Neodiprion lecontei: one gene and its partners. The protein of the gene in region 2 purifies or fractionates together with the protein of the main gene of each other region. This does not show direct contact. Links are inferred from orthologs where the notes say so. Each region holds a gene or a part of one and is shown on either strand. Other genes may lie near its edges. The genes, in order: intraflagellar transport protein 57 homolog, intraflagellar transport protein 88 homolog and intraflagellar transport protein 46 homolog.

Region 1 (5,174 bases), on a different chromosome or scaffold from region 2:
CAATCAGAACTATGAGTGAAAAAAAAAAAACAGAGAAAACAAAGAAAATGAATGCCCAGTTACGAATGTGTTAATATGGCGATTTACAAAAAACGTAAAGAACTTTTTTAAAATACAAAGTTTTGCAGGAATTATGGCTATTACACAGTATCGGAAGCTGTTTAGGGTTTGGTATCTTCTAAATAGTTACACTCTAAATACGAAAACTAATAATTTTTGTGACAAGTGCGCATAAAATAAGGATGTCTTGACGAGCGTAAAACACTAGTGCGTAGAAATTGACTTTTAAGCACTAGTTTCATCAAAATTTTAGTATATTCTATCCACTGCTACTAGACGCAACGGAATAAAATTTGGTAAAAGATAGGTAATCATAGATTTATAACTAAATTTAAAACTGCGAGTTCGGAACTTTGTCATAATTTAATTTACAAACCTAGTTTCGATGCTTGATGCATGGCTATAGTGTTTCACAGCAAAAACTTCGTTCATAACTCCTACAAGTGATCGGTTATCGTATAACTTTTATGTAAAATATGAGCGGCGAAAGACTGAGAATCATTAATTTAATAAATACATTTATGTCAAAGGAATGATAACAATTTATGCTGACTAGTTTATAAGTTGCGATGTGTCTTATTACTAACCGTGCAATGATCTTTACCTAGACACGGTTGTAGTTTCCGTTTATAGTTATAGCTTATCAACTATTTCGGTGGGATCTCAGGTACTGATAACGGTGGTGAACAAGGCACTATGATAGCGTCAAGGAAACGTCTTTCGGATTAATTAATAGTGGCTATGATCAATTTGTTTTCCGTTCTTTTTCACCCAGAGATTCAGCTACCGAAAAAATTTTCTTCAGACATATTATGGAACGAAACTAAATACTCAATAAGAGAAAATGAATAATATGCAGATATGCTGTTTGTAGTACTTCCATTTCTAATACCAAGTATGAAAAACCTAGGTAATAATCCAAAGACAGTAATATTAACTGATCGGATAGAAAAGTTCCCCCGCAAATCTTTCAGTCGCACACGAAAAATATGCACGAACTTTAGGTATCTATGACCTTGAATTTTCCTCAAATCATCAACGAGCTGCTTGTACTGTTCATATCTTCCTGAAGTTGAGTACGATCACGAACTCTGGTGCACATCAAGCTGTATTCAAGAACACCGATTCTGACGTTCATCTCCGAGATTTCGTTCTTCATTTTTGTAATCGTTTTTTTGATATTTATCAAGGGAGCTGCAGGAAGAAAGTTGAAAAATTTTTTTACATCCACACTCAACGATCCATAATTAACTAATTCAAATTGTTTAGTATTGAACTGCAATTGTTACTTACTTCCATCTGTCATGCTTGATCCTCTCTCATCCATTTCTCGCTTAACTTGCTCTAATTCGTCAGTTAATTTATTTAGAGTTCTCGTTCTCTCAGTCACTCCACCACTGACGTCTCTGTACTGTTCCTTCACTTTCGACATTTCCTCCTGATCACAGAGACAATGCCAAATGATGAAATTCAGTAAATACCTCTGTAGTCTTTATGGCTTGTGTGAACTTTATCACATTGTCTTAGATCACAGTAAATCCATTTGCTTACTTGCAATGTTTGAAATTCGTTTAGGACAGGCTCCAGTTGTCTGTTTACATACATTTCTCGTGTTTTTATCTTATCCAACGTACTTGCTATGTCGGAATGCAACCTCTCTAATTGGCTCTTTGTATTGCCAAGATTCGCATAAATGTTTGACCGATGTTGTTTCATTTGATCCAAGTGAGCTCTCCAGTCTCGGGAATCTGTAGATGATGAACTTTTTTTATTACGAAAGTTTTATATATTTCTGATACAGAAATTGAAATAAAAAACGTTTAACAACCAGGAAAGGTTTTGAGAAAAACCACGTCGCTATACATGAAATCAATCAATCAATTATTTGAATACTTACCAGTTTTTACAGTTACCTTCAGCTGAGGTAAGACTCTCTCTAATTCGAGTTTCCATTCTTCCATGTCTGTTTTAGACTCAAGGATATTCTCCGGCTTCTGAATGTCAAGCTACAAAATATTGTATTAAAAAAATTAGGATTTTTTTGCATTCAATTTTCCATGCACTTTTATTTTTTTTTAATCATAGCATTTTCGGTGAAATCATTTGAGAGGTAACAGAATGCATTTACAGTTTTTCTGTCGACCATCTAAATTGACGCTAATGTACAAATAAAAATTTGTCAAAGTCTGAATTAGTTTACTAATTACCATATTTTGTCCATATAATTTAGTTATGTCATCTACATGTAAAACGTCATCCTCGTCCTCCTCCTCATACTCAGCCAACATTTCCTCCTCAACTTTTTCCAGTATCAACTCCGCATCGTCATCTTCTATCTCAGGTTCCGGTGTAGGATCTTCTGGGGGTATTTCAACTCTGCATCAATAAAGACACTTGAAATATGCGATCTACTTTCATCCGTAGTGTTTCAAGGGAAACCACTTTGGGCTTTCGATTTGGCATGTTGACTATCATTCGTGATAACATTACATAGAATAAATGGAAGCATATAATTTAACGTATTTGTGAAATCTGAAAATTACAAAACGAAAGGCAGATCTTTGCAGGTTTGATTTTAAACTAGAGCACCCAAATACAAAATGATTAAGACCATGAATCAAACATTAACAATGCCCTTTGAAATAATAATGTAGGTATAATTCAAGCCTGTTCATATCATTCCTGCTTACTTTTTCCATTTGAAATTGACAATTCTGATAGCCTGATCAGCGAGGCAGTCCAATACATAAATAGCATGCTCGCCAGCGCCCTGCTTTAATTTGTTTGGAGGAAATTCGACGGCAACGTCGATAGCTCTGAGGTGATCGAGAATCATGGATATAGTTGAGTTTGGATCATCGTATTCCTGCGGCTGTTCAAAACTCGTTCCACTTTTCCTTATCAACCAGGCAGCAAGCGAAGTAAACATGTAAAACTGCTCCCCCGAATTGGTCGCAACAACAAAGTAATGCCTGTTGAATTAATATCGCATGGTGAAAAAATTACGCAGGCAAATGAGTAGGATCCTAGTTAGTAAGAAGACCGTACCTGTTTATAGGTTTCATTTTCATATTTTGTACGAATTCAGTGTCGTAATTGAGGATTTTCAACTTATCAATTAAATCCTCCATGCGTACGCTGGGCGCGTAAGCTGCGCTAGGCGCCGTCGCATCTTCAATTACGATCTTTGGTGTTTCCCGAAACATTTTCACCTGTTATCAAAATATGCGGACGTTCCTGATCGTTTTGCTTTAACCAAGTCCGTGGCTTTATCTGGCTGTCAGTAAATGTATGACAAGTAAACAAACTCGCGTCATTTGAGGATCGGGATCGCAACTTCGGTGGCTCTCTTTAGCATGAAGATAATGAAGTTCGCAACGTAATCCGCGTCGGTAAGACTCCTTTCTGTCGGATTTGTCGGTTTCACGCTTACCACACAAAATATCACTGACAGTGGAGCGCGTACGATTGCTTAGAGCATACACCATGGAGAAAGCTTGGCAGCGGAAAAAGCATGGAAAGTGTCCCCGAGTGCGAAAGAGAGGAAAGCTAAGACTCCATGTGTAACGTCCGACCGGAACGTCCGTATGTTTTATCGATTATTATTACTGCATGTTACTTTTATCAACTAACCAAACTCGAAGTACGAGAATCTTGTAACCATAAGAAATTAAAACAACTGTCTAACTATTTGGAATACCCCTAGATGGAAATAACTATGAAATTCACTAGCCAAGGCTTACAAACCATGTTACGAGATCTTCGTACTACAGAGAACTATAATATTATTATACGTTATTATATATCACTATCACATTAACACTATAATTAACTAACACAATTATACCCAATTATTATATAGCACTCAGCAATGCCATTTGTGCATTCGGAGCTGAGAGCTATACTTAAGCAACATACGCTTTACTATATAGCCTGGAGTATAGAAGACTGTAAAACCATAGATAAATGCATAACCAATATAATGTAAAGATAGCACTGCTGCAATAACCCATAAAACCAGAGACTGCAAAACCATCAAACCGTGAATGCTAATTACCCAGCATGAACTATACCTTCTTCCGCAACGCCGTATTGTAGGCAACACGCGCAACGTTTTGAAGGCAATGCAGATCTCCAATGTGGAGCCATACAGAGCCTTACCTAGAGAATACATTAGGAAACTTACCGACGAAACGAAAACGTTCTAGAAGCTTCCAAGCCGATTTATATCAATATAAGAATTAACAACTACAGAAGGGAATCATATACAAAAGCACACATGTAAACCTGCTCTAAAGCTATGAATCATCAAATTACTAGGTATTCTAAACCTGTTAAGATAGTTATAACACAAACAACTAAAGATATTCGCAGCAGCGTGATTCTAATAATGTTAAACAAATAACAAACTATGTTCATAAACAATTGCTATTGCACTCCAGGTTAACAACGACAGTAGTCGACTTTAATACATATGCAATTCTATATAGATACAACTATAAAACTAACAACGACAGTAGTCGACTATAATACATATACAATTCTATATAGATATAACTAATAAACTAACAAACGACAGGTAACCAAAATGAAATATGGGCTTTGTAACGAGCAAGATAGCAAAAACAGTAAGAGATAGACAGGTAGTTAAGTGGCTGAGGGGCGCCAGAAAGGGGGCTGGCGCCACAAAGGGGGCTGGCGCCACAAAGGGGGACTGGCGACACAACGAAAAGCTCACGCAGTTCGGAGAACTACGGAACCAAGTCCACGCACCTACACCACCGCACCAAGCAGCGATATACCATACGTAAAAACCTACAATATAGTAATAGCTAAAGAAATAAGATCACAGGCGTGCATGCGGCGAAGATGTCGTGCCCTAATTAGAATTCCTAGAAAAGAGGGGAGGTGCGCAAAGGCGACCAAAAAACTAGAGAGGGGGATCGTTCTGCGCAACGATCGACCCCTATAAAAACGGCGACCGATCACTCGATCGCTCTCTTGTGTTTCTACCTCCAGATTCGTCATCTAGTTCCGGTACAGTCTCGCGGTAAAATCCTTTAGCCTTTTGCATTAAAACTTTCATACAACGTTACTCTGCCCAAAAGTTCAGC
Region 2 (4,851 bases):
CAATGTATCAGATGCCGTTATTACATTAGAGTATTGCTTAGGTTAAAGACGTGTTTGAAATCTTACAATGGGGCGTTTTGCGTAGCTGGCTTTAATCGCGTCTTGATATAATTCATCCTGGTCCAAATCCTTAGTGCTGAATAACGAAGGATAGTCATTGTATCCAGAATAAATATCATCGTCATGTATGAGCGTCGTCATTGCTGCCCGTTCTTCTTGAACAATCCGATTATCTCTGTTGCGTATTTCACTTGCAAACCGCAGTTACCTCGATTTTGGAGGTTAGGTCGTAGCTCTCTGCAAAACTATTTAATCGCGTTATTAATTCACGTTGATTTACCGCGTAAAACTTCGCAAGATAATCCATCCACCTATCAACCCCGTAAACAAAGTATTTTTAACCGGTTGACGTATTATTATCAAACTTTAAAACAACAATTTTGCCACAGTAAATTTCTAATTCACATTTGACAGCATCACTCGCGTCGCTGGCAACTGGCAACTGGCCGCTGGCGTTTACAATTTGTCACTCGATCAACGCGACATCTAACAATAACAAAGGATTAAATACCACCTCGCTCACATTCAAATTATATTAGACATTCGAAAATTAGAATTAGATTATAATTAAAAAAAAAATCCAGGGAAGTCTTTATAATGGACTAATTACCTGCCCGATTTAATTTCGCCTTTAGGAAACCTACCAAATTTCATTAGTTTTCCTGTATCTATCACCATTCTAGAGATATTATTAAATCACAAGAAGGTCATTTATGCAATGTATTAGGACTTGTTGAATGAATTAAAGAATATACAGATATATATATAAGTTATTTAACTTTATTATTATAAATGATTAAGCATTAATTATCCATTGATTTATAACGTTTAACAGACGTAATTATACATAACGTCCCATTAAAGTCTTCTGTTATTATTGTTGTTGACTGTCAAATTTGTTCTAGTTATAACGTTTTATAAGATCGACATAAAAAAAGAAGATTATTACAAGTGCACGTGATCGATTTTTATTATTATTAATTAAGTGAAAAGCATGTCAACCCAAAAAGTACAGATGATTTACTAATGATTCATTGTTCATCTTTGAGAAAAATTGTCAACATTAGCTCTTACCATCGCTCTGTTGGAAACGTGTTATTATTTGCAGAATGTGGTATATGTTTTGTGCTTAGAATGCGAGCGAGGTGGTATTTAATCCTTGTTATGTTCGATGTCGTGTTTACCACAGGACAGATCTCTTCCTTCTTCTTACCAGGCCATCAGAGGCAGTCAACTATCTCGGTAGTCAGTCATTATTTCTGATCATGAGCAACAGAGAATATGGCAGGTCTTAGAACACACTATAAGAAAAAAGCGGCTGGATTCGGCAATTTAGAAGAGTCGAGAATTATAAAATCTTTTGAAAAAGAAAATGCAAGAAAACTAAGGCGTTTGGACGCATATAATGTTAATAGAAAAATCATCGGAGCAGGTTCTCCGGTTACATCCAGCATCGGGCGCATGGAAAACGTACAAGGTAATAGTCTAGTACATTTTTCTATTCGGTAACATTTTCTCTTTCGTTAGCTAACTCGTCATTGTTCCTAAAATATCAACCGTTATCACTGTTTATTACCGTTTTATTACCATTGTCTCGCTTGAATTAATAACTATTGATCTCTCGCAGCTACCCTTTTAGTTCAACCATGTAAAGGAAACAAATAGCATAATACTACAAGCATAGCGGGACCTTTTTTACGAACAGTCAGCTGACAGAAATATTATACAGAAATAAAAGCATTACATTTGATACAAGTACTCAACTTAGCCCACCGTCACCACTAATGTCCATGGTATAATTCTGAGTACAACTCGGTATAATCATGGGCAGAGGTAGAAAATTTAGACCTAGGGGTTTGCACTGTTTTTTCATTTTTCAGAATATCACTTAGTTTGATGTACTTACGATTTTGTATTGAAATTTTCTTATCAAAAAATAATTTTATCTTGAAATCCTACTAACACATTGGCAAGATTTTACCATCAATGGAATAAAAAATTTTCACAGATGGACCTAAAAATCAAATCGTCCAAGAAGATAGACGAATGAAATTGTTGAGATGGAGGGTAAAAAGAGATTTGCAAAAAAAAATTCAAAAAGCAATGAAACCACCAGTATTGTGTGTTGGAGTTTGTCACGATAAACTAAATTCCTCTATGTTCCTACACCAAAGTCTGTCAGCATTTAAACCTATCAAGTCAACGATGTCACCCAGAATCACTAGAGCCACTGCAAAAAGGCTGGCATCGGAAGCTTGTATGAAGGCACGTTCACCTGATGCTACTATTATTTTAAGGAATAAAAAAATAATCACAAAAGTTTTGGACCAAGGGATCGTACACAAAGCTTCAAAAAGTATTGAAATAATAAATATTCCAGGCAGTTCATTTGCACCAGAAAATTATGCGTTTAGACCGCCGGCCTGTTTACCGTCCCTGCATTTGCTTGATCAGGCAGCATTGAAACAGCCGAAAAAAGATCTTTACACGACGGTTACTCCTAAATTCTGCTCTCCTTGTATTCTCTATGCTCGAAAGAAAAAAGCTTTAAGACAAAAACTGCTGTAGCAACCCAACACTAAGACTGATACTGTGCTAATGCAATCTGAACGTGATGAATTACTAACTGCTGCAGCGTTTGAAAAAAATGAAGAGCGAACACCACTATATTTTAGAAAAGTCACAGACGGAGAAGTTATGAGACTAAAAGCTCTCTGTTGGGATTGGATGATGATAACATCTGCACCTGATACCCCAGAAGATGCTCAATGTATGATAAATCACGTAATTGGTCGATCAAATCTGTTGATCAACAAAGAGGTAAAACTATTTCGAAAACTCGTAACCAAATGTGAAACTGGTTCGCAAGAAGAATTGGTAACCAATGACGACTTGCAATGTTTCTGGGACATCATTTACATGCAACTCGAAGACTGTCACTCTAGGTTTGGCAAATTGAATCAATTAAAAGAAAGAAATTGGCAAGAGGCTGAATAAAAAAAAATGAAAGAGAAAATATGTTAAATACTTACTGCGTTATTTTTATTTTTTATTATTTATCGCATGAATTTATTTTTTATACTATCGCAAGAATTATTTATTGCATGAATTTATTTTTTATAATAATGACAAGAGTAAGCATCCACATTTTGATTTACAATTATACTGTTTGGCTAATCGATCAAACTGTGAAAATGTAATTAAATTCCTTAAGTTTATTTGAATTTCAATGCCTTACTAATTTATCTCATTTATACTCTGTTCATTATCATCACAACACAAAATTTCTTTGCAAAAGTTTTATATTATAAGCAAGTCGATTTAAATTCTAAGACTTTTCTGTAAAAAAGTATTCATCAATAAATCGTGTCATATTAAACATGTTGCGTTGTACGCCATTAGGCCTCACTATACAACCAATGCGTTGCATGATAATAATACAAAAACATCAGTATTATATTTTTGTAAGTGAACGTTACAAGACGGTCCACGATCATATATAATTTCTTTATAAAAATCACGTTCCACTCCTGAATTCAATTCCGTTCCCGGAAATGCATTTTTTTTTTTTTATATATATATTTATTCGAAAATCATGTTCGAGCAAGTAATACAAGTTTGACTGTAATTATGAGCAATCAGAAAGCAATATTTTGGCATTAAAATTTTCAAGAAATTCGAAGGTCGGACGCCAACTTCACATAGGTATCAACATAACCGCAAGGAGACGCCACGCATCCCGAAAGAAATACCATTGGACAAAATGGCATGAATGTGACAGAGAGACCCAACTCGCATGATTTTACCGTAGCCTATTTCCGTGACTAAAAGCGAAGAAAGTAAATAAATATGGAATAAATCATACGATAATAATGAGAGTAATTGCGGTAGTCAATATTTTCACATATCTTTTAATTTTATACCAATAAAAAAAAATACTGACGAAAGAATAAAAACTTGAATGAATTTCGAATTTCCCTCTCCTGCATGAACCAAGTCAAATGACAAAATGATAAACAAATTTTCGATTATGTTTTGAAGACATACGAAGCGGGGAAAACAATTAAATTCATATTTAGCAAATTATCGTATGATTGGTATTCGAGAAGTTTATTCGGCAATAAAAGGTTGCTATTTTGGACGATATTCATAGCTGATTTGAGCATAGAGTAGTCCTCTTTCTTCTGCGGGTTTGGCATGGTGATGCAGTGCTCTTTTCATTTTCATTAAAGTTGAACATACTTGTTTATTCATCATCTAATTGGAGTTAATAACTAAAATATGCCGAAGAATAAAGGTAAGTCAGAGTATTAGCAAGTTTTTAAAAATCATTTGAAGTCGAAGAACCCATAAATTAACCTTCCATCAAAATCGAATGACTGGCACGATTTATCGAACAATGTGGTTAAGTTTGGTATATAACCTGCCAGTGTCATTCTGGCGTTAAAAATAGTCGATGCACCTTGATAAAAAAAAAAATGCATAATTTTTTCTCCTCTAATGTCGTCATCGACAATGACGCTCGTGATGAGTGATATATTCCGTGTTTGTGTTATTAGGAAAGGGAGGTAAAAACAGGAGAAGAGGTAAGAACGAGAATGAAACTGAAAAGAGAGAGCTGGTATTCAAGGAAGATGGCCAAGGTAAGTAAAAACACGCACGTTCATGATATGCCTTATGACACAGGCCTATTTACTTTTGCAAGCAAGCTAATCTATCCGATATATTATTATTCTTCAACTTATGTTTCGACATTTTACAAGACAAATTGATCGGTGACTCAAAGAAATG
Region 3 (4,782 bases), on a different chromosome or scaffold from region 2:
ATTCTTCCATCCCTCTGATGACTAATGATCGAGAGGTTTCAAGGCGAGGTAAGACGTTGGAAAGCTTGCAACCACCCTGAGCGATTTCTCGGAATTTAGGCTGACAAGTTTTTTGACTTCGCGTCGAGAAATCTGCGTCCAAATGGACCTGAAGGTCTACAAAAATTATCAGATGACAAGCATCCGGAGGATGGAGACGCGATTCGGACAACCAGTGGCTGTAGATGAGAATGGTACGTGCAGCGTTGTCTTGTCAGCTTGGGTAGTGAAAATGCTGTATGATGATGACATCCTATTCCGGAATGTGGTACAGGCTACTTGCGAGGATCGGCTGCTGAAGTATTGAGGTAGCCAAATGGACCAATTGGAAGTTCAAAATGCATCGACGCTTGAATAAGTTTCATCAAAAAACGAGAAAACTTAATCGTCTTCTTTTTTCTCATTATATATATTATATATAAGAATCAATTATGATAATTAACCTTTAGAAATATTATGAGAATGATGTAAATTTTCAAAATCGTATTTATTTGTCTTTACATCCTAAATGATTATTTATTGATGTTACACATGCATTTTTAAGTCCCCTAACAACGTATAGAAAGTAAGTTTCACCCATAAATGACGTTACAAGGAGCTTAGGCAACGCCAGAGCCATGGAATATAGGTTGTACGTACGTACCACTGTGCAACAAAGGATTAGAGTGATCTGAAACAAAAAAAAAAATCTAATTTTAGAAATTATTACTATTATTCAATGTCTACTGCGATAGAATTAATATTGATGATCTCTAATTTCTAAAAACAAGGTAAACATCGTGTGCAGTGCTTCCATTCTGGCATCTGGGTAGACTGGAATATCGACGAGGGTACAAGCAATGTCGACGAGACGGGGCAAGTCACAATCTAGCTGTGACAATTCAACCGAAGTATTTTCCAATCGTTCGTCTACGTCTGCAGACCATTGTTGCATGAGCGTATCAATGTCAACTGTTGGTTTTGAGAGATGTACTGTAAGCGGGTGCCTATTTGTGTGCAACTGGTTCATATCGTTAATCCACTTTTCAATAGACTTGGAATTTTTTTCCGGATCGTCAATGCGCTTGATCACTGCCTGTTTCACAGGTCCTGAACTTGTACTATGACTTCGCAATTGCAAATGCAGAACGGCAGGCTCCGATTGATTGGCGCAGGGCTCATCCAGAACGACTAGCCCTACTTTATCAGCGGTACCATCGGGTTTCGGAACTTTAATGAAAGCATCAATATCGCCGACTGCTGGAATGTAGTCGGGCACGAACGGAATGAGCTTGTAGTCAAGGTCAATTTTCTGCGGTGAGAATCTGTACATAAAATACAAGTAGTTGTTAATAGATGTTCGACACAATGGCTCGTCAAAAGACGAAAAGTTAAAAATTATACATTCAAGAGGTTCCGCAAATAGATCTCGTTCATGCTACCTCTTGGAAACGAATAATAATGTTATCCTAAGTACGTTATTTCAGTACAAGGAAATATTTGGCATTTCTTTTTTTACAGATGCCCACTGAAAAACATAGAAAGGCAAAAACCTGACCAACTCACCTTGTGATATTCTCGAAAAGTTCTTTGATTTCAGCTGATACGTGAAGATCTTCAAATTCCTTTGGATCATAAGTTTCAAAACCTTTGGTTGTTCCACCTTGTATATCATCGTCATCCGTCTCTTCACTATCAGAAGCATCATTCATGAGTGCGCTTGACTTGCCAAACGATGTGGGTTCAACGTGGTCCGTAAGCTTGTTCGAATATCTAGTGGAACAATTTTTGAATATTCCATATATGCTTATAGGATTTTAATGTACTTAACCGTCTACCGACACAAAAATTAAATAAGATGCCAAAGGAATGTATAAATATTATTCTTACTTTAATCTTTCAAACATTTACGGTGTTTCAAATCTATCTTTGAAAACAAAAGAAGACTGGATTCAACTTTAATAAACTAAAGCACGAAAGTTTTCCACCCTTGGGACAGTTGATAAGTGGTGATTACAGATGTCGCGTTGATTACAAAAACCCACAGAGCATGGATAAGATTAAAATACCTTGAAGGCTGTGGGGGACTGAGATTGCCTCGTAGACTTCCAACCCCAATCTTCAATGAGCTGTGGCTACCGGTATTTTTTGGACTTCGTTTCAATGTCGACATAGCTGTGTTCACAGGGCTCTTGATTTCTTCGGCGTTGCGTACCTCTATACTTTCATCAAATTGGCTAAATGCAGATATATTTTGTGCTTCTTCGTCCTCACTGCTATCCTTAATGTCCATTGTTTGTTCGGTTAGTGGGCTGGAAAATAAATGATACGCGATACTCCTGTGGATGTGCTTATTCTAAACGGCTGACAGCGGAGGGTAAGGATCAGCCACGGAGCAACCAACTGCCACTGGTAGATATTGTGGTATGTTGTTTACAAACGTTGCCATGGTGTTCTAGTTCTCTGCTATCCTCCAGACATTTGATCGAAAAAAAAAAAAATGTATTCGGGCTGGGAATGGTTAATTATTTTGGTTCAGCGTCCGCTAATTGAATCCAAAATTTATCAAATCTGGAGATACTTTTATTCGCTGACATTCATAATTGAAACAAAAACAATCCCAATTCTTGCACTCCTGGAAACATCGGTGCCAGCGGGGACAAGGATGCGATTGGCAACCACTTGCTCGATCGACCGAGTATATCTATATATACTCTGCGAGCGCGCCTAATTTCATGCCTGGCACACGATTGTGGGCCGCCTTCGGTGCATGGCCGCCTAGATGTCGCGTCGACGCTCCAACCTAGCTGGTATCACGAAAAGCCGAGCGTTAGAGATCTCCCTACTCATCTCTGGTGAGCGTGTCAGAAGTCTACTAGCGCCACGTAGAGGAACTGAAAAACGGGTACAAAACAAGAAGCTACGTCGGAAAGTGTCATTCAATTCTGATCTGGCGGTAAATATTTCGCCCCAAGAATCGACCATAAAAGCACGATGAACGGTTTGGCAGCGGAAAAAAGTTCGCAATCTCAACAGTCCAACAGCAAATATTCATTCTCATCGTTCGATAATCTCAACCTCGTACAGACGGTTTTATTTATCATCAGTTATCATTCCACATTATTGTCAGGCTTCTAGGTTCCGAACTGGGTCCGCGATTTTTTGCGACGCAAGATTCGCGGCCCGCCGTTCCGGCATCGCTGAGTTTGCAGAACATTTCTCAGAACGCGAACAGGTCTGGATGAGAATCAGGATGGTACGTCCTGACACAGACAGGTACGTCATTTCGCCTTCAGGTGACCTCCAAAATTTCGTTTGTTTTGCCGTATCTATCACCGTTCTCGAGATATTCGCGATTCAACTCAATCAACCCCCACTCCATGGGAAGAGTAACAAAGAGGGAGGGAGAATTATTATCTTCCGTCACTCAGAGAATTGATACAAGACTCTTCTGAGCGCCATGCGGCATCAGTCGTTTCCGAGCAATCGGGACGAAATCACGGGCTACCGGTATCAGCTCAACATTAAAACCGTGTTGATCAAGTTGTGTCGCGTTGTTCGATCAGTGTGTTTCGTGTCTCGTGTTTTCATTGTTTTGTATAACTTTAGATTTCAGTGAAGTCTACTTTTTTTTCGATGAGTCGTGTGTCAATTTTATTATTTCTTTGGCCGATTTTCGGCAAATGCGCAGTTGCATTGTTAGCAAGTTTATTCAGTCGGTCGAAACAGACAGCAACAGTACAAAAAGTGAGTGTAGAATCAAGTATTATTGCAGTGCGGATTTTTGGATTACAAGTGATGAGTGAAGATCTAAATGACGTGACAAGTGCGTCGCTTCACCAATAAACCTGAGATGCTACAACAACTACTACATGTAGTGTCGAGCAGCCCAGAGTCGAGGTAACAATACTTATTTTAATTATTGATTGATAATTCAAGGTGGTGAATTTAGTGCCGAACTTTTGTTCTTGTATAACATGCAATGCATAAATATGAAACTAGACAACAGTAATAATTAATTTGAAGTCTGAAAAGCCAATTTCCTCAATTAATTCAAGTGTTATATTTTGTTTTTCACAGATTTAGCCTGAGACTTCCGAGTAACTTTTCCCTTTCTCGGCAACGTTGGTGAGTTTGCATGTGTTAGGTTATGGGTATTTCCCTGGGATTCCTCTGTCACGTGGCGTGGCGGTAACAATTGTTACACAAATCTTCGATTTCTTAGCTGCATGGATAGGCTCATTCACGATCACAACGTGCTTCACTTGCAGTCCAATAATTTTTTTTCGCAATTTAATGTACCGTAGCTTACTCGAAGTTAGAAATTTTGCACGTTGCGAAAAGTGGAATGAGCATCGCGACAGGTAACCATCGCTTACTCGGCACTCGCGAGATCGAATTGTGTTTCGCAAATGATGTAATAATTTACGTTTGAATTTACCGATGATGTCGTTTAAGTGATGGGTTCACCTGAGGTTTGAACGTATTCAATTATTCACAATATTGATAAATCGATAAAATTCCAAAGTCTGGCATAACGTAACGTAGTGAAATTGCATCTTATATTATTATATATCATTTTCAACCCTTTAAAAGTCAACAAATATTGATCAACTGCAGGCTTAGCTCGCTTAGAAAAATGCTAATTGGCATACAGGATGTTTTTAATCTATTTTACAAAATGTTAATGTACCGATAGTCTGCCAACATTTACTAAAATAATACATACAACACTATAGTTGACGGGACATAACCGCGATACTG

The links.
Region 1: the proteins of intraflagellar transport protein 88 homolog (region 2) and intraflagellar transport protein 57 homolog purify together in Homo sapiens (affinity purification with mass spectrometry; 3 studies listed by BioGRID and IntAct, counting the BioPlex papers as one, with this or other methods). This does not show direct contact. The link is inferred for Neodiprion lecontei from reciprocal best matches to the Homo sapiens genes IFT88 and IFT57.
Region 3: the proteins of intraflagellar transport protein 88 homolog (region 2) and intraflagellar transport protein 46 homolog purify together in Homo sapiens (affinity purification with mass spectrometry; 3 studies listed by BioGRID and IntAct, with this or other methods). This does not show direct contact. The link is inferred for Neodiprion lecontei from reciprocal best matches to the Homo sapiens genes IFT88 and IFT46.

The regions. Positions count from the first base shown.
Region 1 is NC_060262.1:42,131,568-42,136,741, forward strand, and holds intraflagellar transport protein 57 homolog, read right to left. Parts: upstream 3,567-5,174; 5' UTR 3,267-3,566; coding exon 3,109-3,266; intron 3,033-3,108; coding exon 2,751-3,032; intron 2,437-2,750; coding exon 2,268-2,436; intron 2,067-2,267; coding exon 1,958-2,066; intron 1,809-1,957; coding exon 1,612-1,808; intron 1,499-1,611; coding exon 1,354-1,498; intron 1,255-1,353; coding exon 1,088-1,254; 3' UTR 550-1,087; downstream 1-549. UniProt on the Homo sapiens protein: Required for the formation of cilia. Plays an indirect role in sonic hedgehog signaling, cilia being required for all activity of the hedgehog pathway.
Region 2 is NC_060260.1:5,205,531-5,210,381, forward strand, and holds the start of intraflagellar transport protein 88 homolog, read right to left. Parts: upstream 3,131-4,851; 5' UTR 3,093-3,130; exon of another isoform or gene 2,629-3,092; coding exon of another isoform or gene 2,069-2,628; intron 1,538-2,068; coding exon of another isoform or gene 1,342-1,537; intron 1,219-1,341; exon of another isoform or gene 1,135-1,218; intron 836-1,134; exon of another isoform or gene 306-835; 5' UTR 202-305; coding exon 67-201; intron 1-66. Other genes in the region: uncharacterized protein LOC124295468, read left to right, coding at 1,342-1,537, 2,069-2,628; eukaryotic translation initiation factor 1A, X-chromosomal, read left to right, coding at 4,342-4,357, 4,620-4,703. UniProt on the Homo sapiens protein: Positively regulates primary cilium biogenesis. Also involved in autophagy since it is required for trafficking of ATG16L and the expansion of the autophagic compartment.
Region 3 is NC_060263.1:22,367,984-22,372,765, reverse strand, and holds intraflagellar transport protein 46 homolog, read right to left. Parts: upstream 2,869-4,782; 5' UTR 2,312-2,868; coding exon 2,088-2,311; intron 1,889-2,087; exon of another isoform or gene 1,792-1,888; coding exon 1,585-1,791; exon of another isoform or gene 1,540-1,584; intron 1,344-1,539; coding exon 776-1,343; 3' UTR 508-775; downstream 1-507. UniProt on the Homo sapiens protein: Forms part of a complex involved in intraflagellar transport (IFT), the bi-directional movement of particles required for the assembly, maintenance and functioning of primary cilia. May play a role in chondrocyte maturation and skeletogenesis.